Oryctolagus cuniculus: one gene and its partners. The protein of the gene in region 4 interacts with the protein of the main gene of each other region in a pairwise test. Links are inferred from orthologs where the notes say so. Each region holds a gene or a part of one and is shown on either strand. Other genes may lie near its edges.

Region 1 (3,562 bases), on a different chromosome or scaffold from region 4:
GGAGTTAACCAACGATGGAAGATCTCTCTCTCTCTCTCTCTCTATATATATATATATATATACACACACACATAGACATATATAGAGATATACATGTGTATCCACCCCATCTCGCCCCATAACTCTGCCTCTCAGATAAATAAATAAATCTTTAAAAAATTCATGGAAATGCATACTATGAATCTATGCACAGATTTCAAATTTTGGGGGCACCAAAATACACTTATCTTTTACATCCCGTTTTCCACAAGCCTTCTGAAGTCTGCTCAGATCCTTCCCCTCCTGGCACCAAAGAGAGCTGTGGGGCTCCAGAACCTCAGCAGCCAAGGCCTGGGATGGGCAGCCCCAGCTCAAGGCTCCGTCAAGTCCCAAGTGGAGAGGCACTGCTAGGAACCAGCTGCACTGCACAACAAATTCCCCTTCCCCACCTGTCTGCTTGCCATCGTGCTGCAAGGATTAAAGGCACCATGAAGAATGCATTTCCTTCTCACTCTTGGTGATTTTCCATGGTTCACCTGGGGTCTGTCATGAGAGAACCCCGCTCTAGGTTACCCATTTTCTCTGTACTAGGACTCACCCCTACATCCCGTAGGAAGTACACAGCAAGTACAGGTGGGTAGGGAGTTCTGAATAATTAGGCCCTTTTTTAAAATCCTATGTTTTCTTCTTATTTTTAAAAGGCAGAGTGACACTGAGAGAGAAAAGGAGAAGGAGAGGAAGAGGTACAGACTGACACAGGGAGCCATGGACCATCCACTAGTTCATTCCCTGAACGTCTGCAATGGGGTTGGGCCAGGCTGAAGCTGGGAACTCCACCTGGGGTCTCTCACGTGCGTGGCAGGGGTCCAAGCACTTGGGCCCTCTTTTGTTGCTTTCCCAGGCACACTAGTAGGGAGCTGGATCAGAACTGGTACAACCAGGACTTGAACTGGCACTCTGAAATGGGAAGGTGGCACTGCAGCTGGCGGCCTAACACTGCACCACAACACTGGCCCTGTTCTTTTTATTATTATCATCATCATCGTCAGAATTCTGAAGAATTCTTTCTTGAACCTTTCCAAAGACTGTAGGCTACAGTGATATCTCACCCTTAAGAAAGGGGCTAATCAGATCAGCGCCGGCTGCGGCAGCCATTAGAGGGTGAACCAACAGCAAAGGAAGACCTTTCTCTCTGTCTCTCTCACTGTCCACTCTGCCTGTCAAAAAAAAAAAAGGGGGGGGGGGAGAAAAGAAAGGAAAGGGGCTAAAGGACCCTCAACAGGGCAGGCTGCCTAACAGCGGACAGCCCGTGCTTCTCACAGTTCTGGAAAACACTTGGGGAAGCTGGTCTATGCCCTCCCTCATTTGATCTTTGAAAAAATATTCAAAGCAATTCTGGGGCCACCCACGTGGAAGGCCTGGATGGAGTTCCTGGCTCCTGGCTTCAGCCTGGCCCAGCCCCTGCTTTTGCGGGCATTTGGGGAGTGAATTATGAGATAGAAAATCTTTCTCTGTGTCTCTTCCTCTATCTGTGCTGCTCTTTCAAATAAATAAATAAATCTTTAAACCTAACTAAATAAAAATACTCAAAGCCATTCAAACTCTACTCAGTTTTTATGTTATTTTTTTCTTTGAATGTCCCAAATATCAGTTTTTTCCCCAACTGTTTTCAACCCACGCCAGCAGGAGGCACTGTCATTTCTGAGTGTCCTATAGTCCTGGGTGGACAACATATCCAGAGCGGAGGTTCCACAGGCACGGAACTTCCCAGCTGGGGACCAAGTCTGTTTGGTTCCCAGAAACTTGGGCGGTGAAACTGCTGATTCACAAAAATGGGCTATGCAAGTGACTTGAGAGATGACAAAAGGGTTGGCTGAAGGAGCCCGTGGAAATCAAGAGTGAATCACCCGTCCAGTTTCTAACATCTCTCAGCAAGGCTGCAACTGGCTTTACCGGGGCTGAGGAAGTCAGCTGGACACAGCCCTGGCTTCAGCCTGGTATTTTCTGATGCCTTAACATCTTGGGACCTTGCTAAGCCCAGGGGGCCTGCCTCCCCTGGGACTAGTTTATTCCTAGACACAGCCAGCAACTCACCCGGCAGCGTGTTTTTCATAAGCAAATCGACCGATGCCACCACCTCCTATGTTGCTTCCGTCATGCCCAGGGCCACTAAGCCACTTGCCCCCACCACCACAGGGACAGCTCCCTCACAGCAGGGCCAGCCCCCAGCGGTCCCAGAGCCACTGAAGCTACTCATGCCAGCCAATCCTAAGCCTGCTCTCCTGGCTCGCCTACTCCCTCCCCCGGAAATGGCACAATTGCCGACGTTCGCCTCCTGCTCGCCTTGCTTCCTGGCATGGCCATCTCCCCGCTCCTGCGATCTGGATGTACAACAAGCCTCCCTTTCAACAAGTGTCATCTCTGTGACCGGCCCTGCCATTCCTCTATTTTGAACATGGACGTGGTGGCTTCTGCCTGCGATGTCCTCGCCCAGACAAGCAGCTCCGTCTTCTCCTAATAGGGACAAGTGCAGGATGACTGCTAGAAAAGCCTGCAGCCCCGCAGCCTTGCTCAGCCAGGGCTCCTCAACAGAACCACAGAACGCAAATGATGTCGAGAGTTGTGATCTCTTAATTCTCCCCAGGATGGGATCATCCCTACTCTCAGAGGCAGCGCGCTTCATTGCTTGCAAACAACAGATACCAGGGGCAGGCAGGGCTTAACTTCCTTGAGGACACAGTTGGGAAAGGCCTGCTCTACAGTCTAGGCAGAAATGAGACTCCTCAACTCTGCCTCGCAGAAGCAACTCTTAGGGCCCGAGTTGTGGTGCAATAGTTGAAGCCGCCACCTGCATCCCATATCAGGACACCGACTGGAGGCCTGGCTGCTCCACTTTGGATCCAGCTCCCTGCTAACATGCCTGGGAAAGCAGCAGAAGATGGTCCAAGTACCCAGGCCCCTGCCACCCATGTGGGAGACCTGGATGGAGCTCCTGGCCCAGCCCTGGCTGTTGTGGCCATCTGGGAAATGAACCAGCAGACGGAAGCTCTCTTTCTCTGTCACAGTGCCTTTCAAATAAATATAAAAGAAAACCTTTTAAAAATAATAATTAAAAAAAAGAAGCCACTCCCGTTGCCCAGAGACGGCGACGCGGCGTGGTGGGGTGCGCCCCCTACCTGTGCAGCAGGTGAACGTTACCTGCGCTCGGTGCTCCCCCACTGCGAACTGGATCACAGCCACGCCCGGGCTGTGGCTGTCCTCGATCCTCTCCACAGTGCTCGAGTCGATCTTCAGGTCGTTGCTGATCTCCGCGCTCTGAATGAAGTCTTCCGTTTTCAAGTCCTCCACCTTCTTCAGCTCCCCGTTGGCCAACTGGATGATGGAACCTTTCATGAAGTAGGGGGGCAGCGTGGGCGGAGCCGCCGCGGGGGACGCCACCGACTGCACCACAGGCAGGTGGATCTGGGCCTGCACCATGGCCGGGTAGGCGGCCGGGGTGGCCAGGGCCTCGGGGCTGAAGTTCTCGCTCTTGGGGAGGGCAGTAGTGACGAAGGTGTGAGGGGGCACTGTAGCAAACTGGGGC
Region 2 (3,562 bases), on a different chromosome or scaffold from region 4:
ATTAAGTTGCTGTAGATAGATGTGACCGTAGTTCTTGAACTTTCTCCGAGGCAAAGGGTTGACTTGGAAGTCCACAGTCTGTCAGTAAAATGGCATCAGGCAAAAAGCTGGGGATGAGAAGCCCAGATGGATCCTTGGTCGTCTTCAGATGACAAACGCTGGCCGTGCTGCGGGGATGCTCCAGTTCACTATATTATAGTGTACTGGGGGTCAAAAACAAAAACACTGGCAGGAGTGGGCAGAGTGTCAGCCTGCGCCACCGCGCCTGTCCCCTCTCGACATCTCCCAGTCTGTGAAAGCCTACCTTGAACAGGGCTACCTAGAAAAACAAAGCTTATAAATCCATTTCCCCTCATTTTATTAAATGTTCCACTTACGTACATTTAAAGATGAGGCATTTAGAAGCTCCTGCAGCCTGCCTCCTCGGCTCCCAAGAGGGGGATGCTGCTGCCGCCTCAGGACGGACAGGTGCGCGGCGTAGCTGCGGGACAGGGGGCGTGCTGCGCACTCCTTTTCTCTGGTGCAGTACATTTTGGTTTGTATCCACGAATACATACAATTCTTTAAAAAAAAATCCCTCATGCAAATTGTAGAAAAAATTTTCTTCCCTTGAAGCTGGCAGTGAAAAATATTCATGTCTTTTTCTCCGTGCACACTCCGTGCTGTTTCTCAGGTCAGGTTCTTTAAGTGGTAAGAGAAAAATAGGGGAAGGCCACAGGGTACGCAGAACGTCCACAAGTGGGCTTTCTTTCCTGTGTAGAGTCGACACTTCGCTTTTTATGCAATTAGCTCCTGGCTGTAGGACCTGTCCACGTCCCAGGCTGAAGCTCACCAAGGCCGGTACTGCCCGGGGCTTGCAGGATGAAGGCTCAAACTGGGCATGGCTCGCACCCTAGCATGCGCTCTGATCACCTCAGCACCTCCTGCTCACTAATGATACATGTATGGTCCTTTGTCCAGAGTGATGGAGGGGGGCGAGAATGGGGGAAGGGGCGAGTGCAAAGAATACTGCTTTTGTCGGAAGGAGCATGGTGAGGGAAAGACAAATTATTCATCGTTCTGGATGCTCAGAGGTGGTTTCATGCATTTTTTTAAAGCCACAATTTCATATCTAGGGTTGATGTAGAAACCAACATCTCTGGAGAGGGAAGGCAAGAAAAGGAGAAGGAAGAGCGAGAGTTCAGTGGGATTTTTTTTCCATTTTCATTTTTATATAAAAGTGTTAAGACCACAATGAAAAAAGTTTATCCATATATATAATAAACCAGTTTTTGAGCTACATATTTTTGTCTTTCTCATCATCAGAAATGTTCTCACACTGACAATGGTTAGATAGCATCATGCCCAAAGACGTCGGCCACACAGTAAAACAAACAAAAACTCTAGAAGTACTATGATACAATTGAGGTAAGAGGGGAAACAAAACAATTTAACATTCGCCCACAAAGGATTTTTTTGTCTTTTTCTTGATTTTGTCAGAAAAATACCAAACACAGTGATTTAAATTTAAAAAAAAGTCACAAAAACCTGTTTTTAGCAGAATTGAATGACCAATGGGCCAGCTCCTCGGCTCAGACGTGATCACTATTGGTTTTCCTAATCCACAAATTCACAGGGAAGTTGTCAGTCAATGTTGGGGAGTGGTGGCATAAAATTAAAAAATATAGACCAAATACCCCACCTGGTATGTCCCCTTTCCCAAGTCCCGCCACCCTCCCTCGCTTTCCCACCCCTACTCCACATGCCTCGTGACCCAGCACTCAAATCTCCATCAGATCGAGGTCAGCTTCTTCAAAGCCATAGAAAGACTCGGTCTCACTCTCGCCCTCAAACAGCTGGTGCAGGCTCTCGGGCTCAACTGTCTCTTGAGGAGACGCCCTGGGCCGGGGCGTGGAGGCGGACGGCTCCTCGGACTGCTCTCCGCTCAGCTTCAGCTGCTCCTCCAGGGAGGCGATGAGCTCCTCCTGCATGTCTGCGTTTCTCGTGGGGGAGCTGACGTTGCCGTCGGGGCCTGGCAGCACGCTGGCCACCAGGAAGGACCGCTGCACCAGCTCGGGGCAGTCCCCTATGACGCTCAGCACCTCCCCCAGCCAGACCAGCACCAGCTGGAGCAGCACGTCAGAATCACATGCAGTGTCTGCCATTTCCCTAGCCTGTTCCTTCCACTTTTTGTGCAGGAAGTTCTTGACAGTTCGCTTGATGCATACGTCTAGTGGCTGGATTTTGGAGCTACAGCCTGCTGGGACCACCGCAGGCAGAGTGCTGGAGGCACTAAGCATGGCCAGGACCTCCTCCGACAAGTGAGTGCGATGGCAGTCCATCACGAGCATGCCTTTGCTGCGCTGGCAGGCCGTGTGCTTCTGCCACACGCGGGTGGACCACAGCTCCATGATCTCGTCGTCACTGTAGCCACTCTCCTTTGCCTCCAGCAGTATGGAGTCTGGCACGTTAGCAGGCTGGTCCATCTGTCCTCGGTAGAACACCAGGGTGGGGAGGACGGTGCCGTCGGCCAGAATGGCCAGCACGACGTCGCACCAGGGCTCCCCCGTGCCCACCGTCTGCAGGGCGTTCTCCTTCCTGTCGTCGCTGCTCAGCACCTCCGTGTCCAGGAACAGGGAGATCTCATCGATGGCCACGATCATAGACAAGGGCAGGTCTTGGTTGTGGATCTGCCGCTGTACGAACTCTATGAAGAGCCCGGCGTTCTCGGCCACGTCCTTAGGGAGGGTGTGGGCCACGGCCCGCCGGGCGTGCGGAGTCAGGTGGTGTCGCAGCATGAAGCGCACGGCCCACTCGTATGAGATCTTAAAGCCCCCCTCCAGAGAACGTCCTATCTTGGTGGCCTTTTGGAACAAGGTCTCCTCATTCACAGGCAGCTGCTGCTCTCGCTGGGTCAGCACCCACTCAGCCAGTTTCTCCTCGGCCTCAAAGCTCAGGTACTTGCCCTCTAGGTTCTCCCCCTGAGAGGCCTGGAAGCGCCGAAGCCAGCGCCGGATACGTCGCTGGGGGTTTCGGAAGTGTTCGGCTGCCTGTTCCGTGTTGCAGCACAGGGCAAACAGTACTACCCGAAGCTTCTTCACAGACAGCTGCTCCTTCTTGCTTACCCCACTGCCACCACCACCTGATGCGGGCTCAGGGTCCTGGGTGCTCGGGCTCCCTTCTTCCTGGTCATCGACATTCAGACATTCGGCCCCCTCTGTGGCCAAGGGTGGGAGGACTAAAGGCTGTGGGTGGGCAGGGGTCTGGGGCGGGGTTGCAGTGGAGGCTGGCGAGGGGAGTGCCTGGGTCACGGGAGGCGGGAGCTCTTCAGGCTCAGCTGGGGCGGCCCCCGCAGATTTCACAGTGGCGGCTTTGTGAGGGGGGAAGGAAGCAGGAGGGTACATGTTCTTCAAGTTCCGGTCATGCACTCGGTCACGAGTCTGGCCATGCCTAAAGGGGCAGGAGCGGGGAGCAAGCAGACGAGAAAGCTCCGTGAAAAAGGGTCCAGGTAGCGGTGGTAATAATGTAAACACACTGCCAAATGGGAAATCATGAAGTGAGAGCTTGTTACCTTGAGTGAGAG
Region 3 (3,562 bases), on a different chromosome or scaffold from region 4:
TCCGCCCCGCCCCCGCGCAGCCCCGCCCCGCACTCACGGAGCCCCGCCCCGCCCCCGCGCAGCCCCGCCCCGCACTCACGGAGCCCCGCCCCGCCCCCCCCCCCCGCGCAGCCCGCCCCGCCCCGCACTCACGGAGCCCCGCCCCGCCCCCCCCCCCCGCGCAGCCCGCCCCGCCCCGCACTCACGGAGCCCCGCCCCGCCCCCGCGCAGCCCCGCCCCGCACTCACGGAGCCCCGCCCCGCCCCGCACTCACGGAGCCCCGCCCCGCACTCACGGAGCCCTGCCCCGCCCCCGCGCAGCCCCGCCCCGCACTCACGGAGCCCCGCCCCACCCCGCCCCCCGCGCAGCCCCGCCCCACACTCACGGAGCCCCGCCCCGCCCCGCCCCCGCGCAGCCCCGCCCCGCACTCACGGAGCCCGACACGATGAGGTTGGACTGCGGGTTGAAGTTGCAGCAGAAGACGTAGTTGCTGTGGCCCTTCAAGGTCTTCAGGCACTTGCCCTGCAACAAAGCCCCTCAGACTCCGGCGGGCGGGGCCGGGACCACCCCCAGGGCCCCGCGGGCGCGCGCGGCTCACCGAGCTCACGTCCCAGATCTTCAAGGTCTTATCGTCGGAGGCAGAGACGAGGAGGTTGGAATCTGAGGACCAGGCCACGTCGGATATTCCCTGGGGGAGACCACGGTGAGCTCCGGCAGCGACAGAGCTCGGCCCAGAGCCGACCCCCGAGAGGCCGGGGCGCTGTGACCCCGAGAGGCCGGGGCGCTGTGACCCCGAGAGGCCGGGGCGCTGTGACCCCGAGAGGCCGGGGCGCTGTGACCCCAGAGAGGCCGGGGGCGCTGTGACCCCCCCCCCGAGAGGCCACGGGGCGCTGTGACCCCCGAGAGGCCCGGGCGCTGTGACCCACCCCCCCGAGAGGCCAGGGCGCTGTGACCCCCCCCCCGAGAGGCCCCGGGGCGCTGTGACCCCCGAGAGGCCCAGGCGCTGTGACCCCGAGAGGCCCCGGGGCGCTGTGACCCCCGAGAGGCCCGGGCGCTGTGACCCCCCCCCCGAGAGGCCGGGGCGCTGTGACCCCGAGAGGCCGGGAGCTGTGACCCCGCGAAAGGCCCGGGCGCTGTGACCCCCCCCCCGAGAGGCCACGGGGCGCTGTGACCCCCGAGAGGCCCGGGCGCTGTGACCCACCCCCCCGAGAGGCCGGGGCGCTGTGACCCCCCCCCCGAGAGGCCCAGGCGCTGTGACCCCGAGAGGCCCCGCGGCGCTGTGACCCCCGAGAGGCCCAGGCACTGTGACCCCGAGAGGCCGGGGCGCTGTGACCCCCCCCCCGAGAGGCCCCGGGGCGCTGTGACCCCCGAGAGGCCCCGGGCGCTGTGACCCCGAGAGGCCCCGGGGCGCTGTGACACCCCCCCGAGAGGCCCCGGGGCGCTGTGACCCCCGAGAGGCCCAGGCGCTGTGACCCCGAGAGGCCGGGGCGCTGTGACCCCCCCCCCCGAGAGGCCCCGGGGCGCTGTGACCCCCGAGAGGCCCGGGCACTGTGACCCCGCGAGAGGCCGGGGCGCTGTGACCCCCGAGAGGCCCCGGGTGCTGTGACCCCGCGAGAGGCCCGGGCACTGTGACCCCGGGAGAGGCCGGGGCGCTGTGACCCCCGAGAGGCCCGGGCGCTGTGCCTGCCGGCGGGGGCCAGTGTGGGCACAGGGAGAGCGCGGCGGAACACGCGGGGGGCCCTTCCCCCGCCAGGCCTCCTCCAGCCCCGCTCCCGGGGACACCCACCAGCTTGTGGCCCGAGATGGTCTTCTCAAACTTCCCGTCGTATGCGCCCCAGATTTTAATGAGTTTATCAGCAGCTGAAAGAAAGAGGGAGGCGGGGCTGGGGCTCAGGGAGCATGGTCGCTCGGCCACCCACTGCCTGGGCTTCCCGGACCCCAGCGCGGGGAGATCGCCCCCCCACCCGCCCCGCCCGCGGCACCTACAGGAGCTGGCCAGCCACTCGCCGTTGGGGCTGAATTTCACGGAGGACACGGCTTTCGTGTGGCCGGCCAGGGTGAATTTCAGGGCGTAGTTGGGCTTCACAGGCGTGGGCTGTTGGAGAGAAGGCAGAGGTCCCACTAGCAGAAGCCCCCCCCCCCAGCTAGCAGCCACGTGGACCCCAGCTGAAGGCCGGCGCAGCCCCCCTAGGCCAGGCGCCTGCTGGAGACTCTACCCGGAGCCACCCTGCAACCCGAGGTCACGGTTCCCCCCAGAGGCCCCTCTGATGTGACCACCCCAGCCCCCCCAGCCCCACTGATGCAACACCCCCCACCCCCCCAACCCCCCCAGCCCCTCTGATGTGACCACCCCAGCCCCCCCAGCCCCGCTGACACAACCACCCCCACCCCCCCAGCCCCGCTAACGCAACCACCCCCACCCCCCCAACCCCTCTGATGTGACCACCCCCAACCCCCCCAACCCCTCTGATGTGACCACCCCCAACCCCCCCAGCCCCTCTGATGTGACCACCCCAGACCCCCAGCCCCGCTGACACAACCACCCCCACCCCCCCAGCCCCCCCAGCCCCGCTGACACAACCACCCCCACCCCCCCAACCCCCCCAGCCCCTCTGATGCGACCACCCCCACCTCCCCCACCCCCCCAGCCCCTCTGATGCGACCACCTCCACCCCCAACCCACCCACCCCAACCCCCCCACGTGGCCCTGCCACGTCCCAGGCCCAGCAGCTCCAGCCTGGTTCAGCTTCCCTGGGCTGCACCTGCAGGCCTGGTACCTTCACCAAAGGCCCCCGCATCCCACCGCCCAGACCAGGGCCCCCATCCCACCGCCCAGACCAGGGCCCACATCCCACCGCCCAGACCAGGGCCCGCATCCCACCGCCCAGACCAGGGCCCGCATCCCACCGCCCAGACCAGGGCCCGCATCCCACCGCCCAGACCAGGGCCCGCATCCCACCGCCCAGACCAGGGCCCGCATCCCACCGCCCAGACCAGGGCCCCCATCCCACCGCCCAGACCAGGGCCCGCATCCCACCGCCCAGACCAGGGCCCGCATCCCACCGCCCAGACCAGGGCCCCCATCCCACCGCCCAGACCAGGGCCCGCATCCCACCGCCCAGACCAGGGCCCCCATCCCACCGCCCAGACCAGGGCCCGCATCCCACCGCCCAGACCAGGGCCCGCATCCCCGCCCAGGGCCTGCTGGGGCCGAGGGCCGAGTTCCGCAGACGGGAGCAGGACCGAGCGCCCGTGTTTTGTACGAAGCTGCCGCGGGCGTTCACCAGGACTGCGGTCACTCGGGGAAGGCGGGCGGCGACATCAGCCCGGCCCTGCAGGCCCAGTCCTAACCTCTGCCGCCCCAGGCCGGGAGGGGGGCAGTGCCGTCAGGTCCCCACCTTGCTCTGAGTGGCGGACGAGGAAGGGGTGGGCTGGGCTCTGGCGGCCTCGGTCTCGGGCTTCTTCTCCTCCGTGGCCATGGCGCTGGCGCCCAGCAGGCGGGACCGCAGGGCAGGAGGCTGCGGCTAACCGAGGTCTACAGTGGGCCTGGGCAGCGCAAACCGTATCTAGACGTTAATTCCCA
Region 4 (4,056 bases):
ACGCCGTGCCCGCCGGGGTGGGGGTGGGGGGGCGTCTCAGAAGTTTCCCTCTGTGACAGCCACAGCAGGGCAGCTGCGAAGAGGCCGGGGTGGGGGTGGGGGGGGTGTCTCAGAAGTTTCCCTCTGTGACAGCCACAGCAGGGCAGCTGCGAAGAGGCCGGGGTGGGGGTGGGGGGGTGTCTCAGAAGTTTCCCTCTGTGACAGCCACAGCAGGGCAGCTGCGAAGAGGCGACAGGCACACCTACGACCTGGAGACGGAACGCCGGGTCACGAGACAGTCCCCCAGTGACCGTCATCCGCCGGCTAGTTCTGCAGCTCCACGCCCTTCTGCGTCCCTTCCACAACCTCAGGCGACAAGGCTGCTCGTGTGGGACCCAAGGAAACCCCGAGAGATGTTAACTAAGGAGCATGACTTTGTCTGGTGGGGGCAGACTCCGAAGGCCCACACATGCACGACCCCCCCCCCCCCCATCCTCTGCAACCGCAGCCCCTCCTCCGCCTCTGGCTTCTCAGGATCTGTTTGTCCACTTCCGCGGGGCTCCCTGCTCTCTCCATCTGCTCAACCCTCGGCCCCCAGCTGAGCCCCCAGCCCGAGCAAGCTCCTCGTCCCCGGTGCCCAGACTGCCACCCAGCACTTCTCCCGTGACACAGCACCCGGAGATCAGACAGGGTGGGCGTCCGAGGCGGCACAACGTTTAACAGGTGCCTCTGCTGCGGCTCTTCTCAGAGCCCTGAACGAGCTGTCGCCACACTGTGAAGACAGCGCGTGGACCAAGGAACCCGACGTTCCCAGCGACAACAACCGGGAAATGCGGTTCTCTGTTAACACCCTAAGTTCCCGCACTTCGGCCTCAATCAGGAGCCCACCCTCCCAACAGTTCCCAACTGGTAAGGTACACCTGGACCCGACTCTCCCTTCCTCACCGAGACCGCTCCCCAGATCAGTAGCCGTGCCCTCTGATGCTCCCTCTGCAGTCCCCTGCGGGAAGCCCCTCCCCACTCCCCTGCCATACCCTGGCTCAAGCCCTCAGCTAGCTCAGATCTGGGCCACTGCAAGGCGCCACACCGGTCCCTCTCCCACCTCTCCCAAAGCTCACCTGTCAGCCAACACAAAACACGGGGCCCACCTGGAGGCACCGGGTCCCTGACCTGCCCTGCCCTACACCCGGCGGGAGGTCCCAGCCACCATCAGATTCCCGTAAGAGAGGCAGGCTCTGAGCCAGTGTGTTCTCCCCAGAGGGGAGACAGTCCACAGGCCGGAACACCAGGGCCGCTGTAAACCTTGACAGAGGATCACTTTTTAAAACTCTGCTAAACCGGCACGCCCAAATGAAATCAAGATACAAAAGGCACAAAACCGGGGCCGCGCCACGCCGGTGGGGCACGGCCCTGAGGGTCTGAGGTCTGGGCTGTGGTCCCTGCATCTTCTCACTCTCACTAACCGGAGGCAGCCCAAGCGAGCATCCGTTGCCGCCCCCGCCGGGGAGACCAGCTGGGACTATTGCGCACAGCAACCCTGTCCGGGTCTCACATCCAATCACCCAGCACATACCAGGCAGGGCACGCACAAACACACCGGAAGGCACCTGTTCCCGGCCCTCGGTCCCCAGCCCCAAGCAGGGGAGTCTGGCACCTTGGGGCGGCCGCCTGGGACCCCCGCCCGCCCCCGCCAGCCCGTGGCGCGCCGTTACCGGGAAAATCACACTTGTACGGGCGCTCGGGCTCGAAGTGGCTGCGCTGGTGGGAGCTGAGCTTGGCGTGCGTGGGGAAGCGCTCACAGCACACCTCGCACTTGAACAGGCTTTCCTGCTCGTGGCCCTTCATGTGCGCCTTGAGGTTGTAGACGGTGGTGAACTTCTTGCCGCAGCCGCCCACCGGGCAGCCGAAGGGCCGCAGCTTATCGTGCGACTGAAGGTGCCGCTTGAGCTTGTACGAGGTGGTGAAGGCCCAGCCGCAGCCGTCCAGCGGGCACTTGAAGGGCCGCCGGCCCTGGAGGCCGCTGTGCGTCAGCAGGTGCACCTTGAGCTGGTGCTTCTTGGCGAAGGCCAGCGCGCACTGCGGCTCGGGGCAGCGGTAGCCCGGTGCGCCGGGGCCGGCGCCCGCGGTCCCACGGCGATTCTCGGCGGGGTGCGCGGTCGCCGTGCCGGGCGGCGCGGGCGGACGGTGCGGCGGCGGCGGCGGCTCCGGCCCCGGCGCGGGCGGCGGCGCGGGCGCCAGCGTGAAGACCCCGTTGTCGAAGCGCACCAGCAGGTCCTGGTTGTTGATGGTGACGGTGCCCGCGAGGGCGGCGCCGGGGGCGGCGGCCGCACCGCCGAGGCCCTGCTCGGGTCCTCCGGCGGAGCTGGGGGCGGGCTCGGCCTCCCGCCGCTCGGGAGTCTCGGCGGCGGTGGTGCCGCGCGCCACCTCCAGCAGCACCACGAAGGAGTCGCCGCCGTCCTCGGCTGGCGGCGGGCTCGGCCCGGGGGCCTCCCCGTGCCGCGGCCCAGGACCGCCATCTTCAGGGCTCCGCAGCAGCAGCAGGCGGCGGCGCGCGGGGCCCGAGCCGAGCGGAGGCCCCGGGCCTCGGCGGAGCCTGCCGGGATCGCCGCCGCCATGTTGGGTTCTGCGCGCGGCCGGGGCGGGGAGCAGCACCGGGAGGTCCATCTTCGGCCCGGCAGCGGCGTCTCAGCAGCCGCTGGAGAAGAGCTGGCAGCCCCGCCCGAGCGTGCGCGCGACGCCGTGCGGCCGCCCCTGAGCTGGTGGTCGCCAAGGGCCGGCGCGGAACCCGCCCCCGGGCCGGAGCCGCGCGTGCGCGAGAGCCGCGGGGTGGCGCGCGAGGGCTGCCGGGGCCCACGTGACGGGGGCGGGGCGTGGGGCGGGGCTTCGGCGGGGCGGGGCGCGGCAGGCAGATGCGCAAGCTCGGTGGGCTGAGGTCTAGTTCCCCGCGTGGAACACGAGGCTCACCCGCTTTGAATCGGATCTGGTAGTGGGACCCAAGAGGGACACCAATACACACCATCCAGGCGATGTACCCTGGTTAACTCACACGCTAGCCGATTCAGTCTGCGCTCGCAGGTGTGAGAATCCAGGCACAGGTGGGGTTTGGTGCCCAGGGTCACACGGCCAGGCGCTGCAAATATACCCAAGAGAAATGAAATCTTGGGGTAAATGTCCATAGCTGCATTATTATTTTTTTAAGATTTGTTTATTTGTTTGAAAGGCAGAGTTAACAGAGAGGGAGAGACAAAGAGATTTTTCCATCCGTTGGGTCACTCCCCAGATGGCCACAATGGCCAGGGATGGGCCAGGCCGGAGCCAAGAGCCTGGAATTCCATCCGGGTATCCCACGTGGGTGCCAGAGCTCCAAGCACTTGGGCCTTCTGCTGCTGCTTTCCCAGGCACGTTAGCAGGGAGCTGGATCGAAAGTGGAGCAGCTGGGACTTGAACCTGCGCCCATATGGGATTCTGGCATCACATCCGGCTGTGCTACAACACCAGCTCCAGCAGTGTTATTTTTAATAACCAACAGTGACGAAAACGTGGTCTCTCCCTACAGCACAATGTGCTTCAGCCATAAGAAGGAATAAAGTACTGACACATGGTCCAAGATGGATCAACCTTGAAAACAGTGTGCTGGGGCCAGCGCTGTGGCATAGGAGGCTAACTCTGCCTGCAGTGCTGGCATCCATATGGGCATCGGTTCAAGTCCCCGCTGCCCCAATTCCAATCCTGCTCTCTGCTATGGCCTGGGAAAGCAGTAGAAAATGGTCCAAGTGCTTGGGCCCCTGCACCCATGTGGGAAACCTGGAAGAAGCTCCTGGCCCCTGGCTTCAGATTGGCACAGCTCTGGCCGTTGTGGCCAGGTGGGGAGTGAACCAGCAAATGGCAAACCTTTCCCTCTGTGTTTTAAAAGTCAATGCGCCAGCGCCATGGCTCAATAGGCTAATCCTCTGCTTTGCAGCGCCAGCACACCGGGTTCTAGTCCTGGTTGGGGTGCCAGATTCTGTCCTGGTTACCCCTCTTCCAGGCCAGCTCTCTGCTGTAGCCAGGGAGTGCAGTGGAGGATGGCCCAAGTGC

The links.
Region 1: the proteins of ZXDC (region 4) and ATXN1 interact in binary tests that used the Homo sapiens proteins (3 or more experiments, as listed by UniProt). The link is inferred for Oryctolagus cuniculus from reciprocal best matches to the Homo sapiens genes ZXDC and ATXN1.
Region 2: the proteins of ZXDC (region 4) and POGZ interact in binary tests that used the Homo sapiens proteins (3 or more experiments, as listed by UniProt). The link is inferred for Oryctolagus cuniculus from reciprocal best matches to the Homo sapiens genes ZXDC and POGZ.
Region 3: the proteins of ZXDC (region 4) and WDR5 interact in binary tests that used the Homo sapiens proteins (3 or more experiments, as listed by UniProt). The link is inferred for Oryctolagus cuniculus from reciprocal best matches to the Homo sapiens genes ZXDC and WDR5.

What each region holds. Positions count from the first base shown.
Region 1 is NC_091436.1:143,620,380-143,623,941, forward strand, and holds part of ATXN1 (ataxin-1), read right to left. Parts: coding exon 3,178-3,562; intron 1-3,177. UniProt on the Homo sapiens protein: Chromatin-binding factor that repress Notch signaling in the absence of Notch intracellular domain by acting as a CBF1 corepressor. Binds to the HEY promoter and might assist, along with NCOR2, RBPJ-mediated repression. Binds RNA in vitro.
Region 2 is NC_091438.1:46,684,505-46,688,066, reverse strand, and holds part of POGZ (pogo transposable element with ZNF domain), read right to left. Parts: coding exon 3,551-3,562; intron 3,430-3,550; coding exon 1,761-3,429; 3' UTR 1,746-1,760; exon of another isoform or gene 1,139-1,745; 3' UTR 1-1,138. UniProt on the Homo sapiens protein: Plays a role in mitotic cell cycle progression and is involved in kinetochore assembly and mitotic sister chromatid cohesion.
Region 3 is NC_091432.1:235,830,774-235,834,335, reverse strand, and holds part of WDR5 (WD repeat-containing protein 5), read right to left. Parts: intron 3,546-3,562; 5' UTR 3,459-3,545; coding exon 3,378-3,458; intron 2,075-3,377; coding exon 1,966-2,074; intron 1,840-1,965; coding exon 1,766-1,839; intron 668-1,765; coding exon 578-667; intron 502-577; coding exon 412-501; intron 1-411.
Region 4 is NC_091441.1:109,539,738-109,543,793, forward strand, and holds the start of ZXDC (zinc finger protein ZXDC), read right to left. Parts: upstream 2,816-4,056; 5' UTR 2,644-2,815; coding exon 1,692-2,643; intron 1-1,691. UniProt on the Homo sapiens protein: Cooperates with CIITA to promote transcription of MHC class I and MHC class II genes.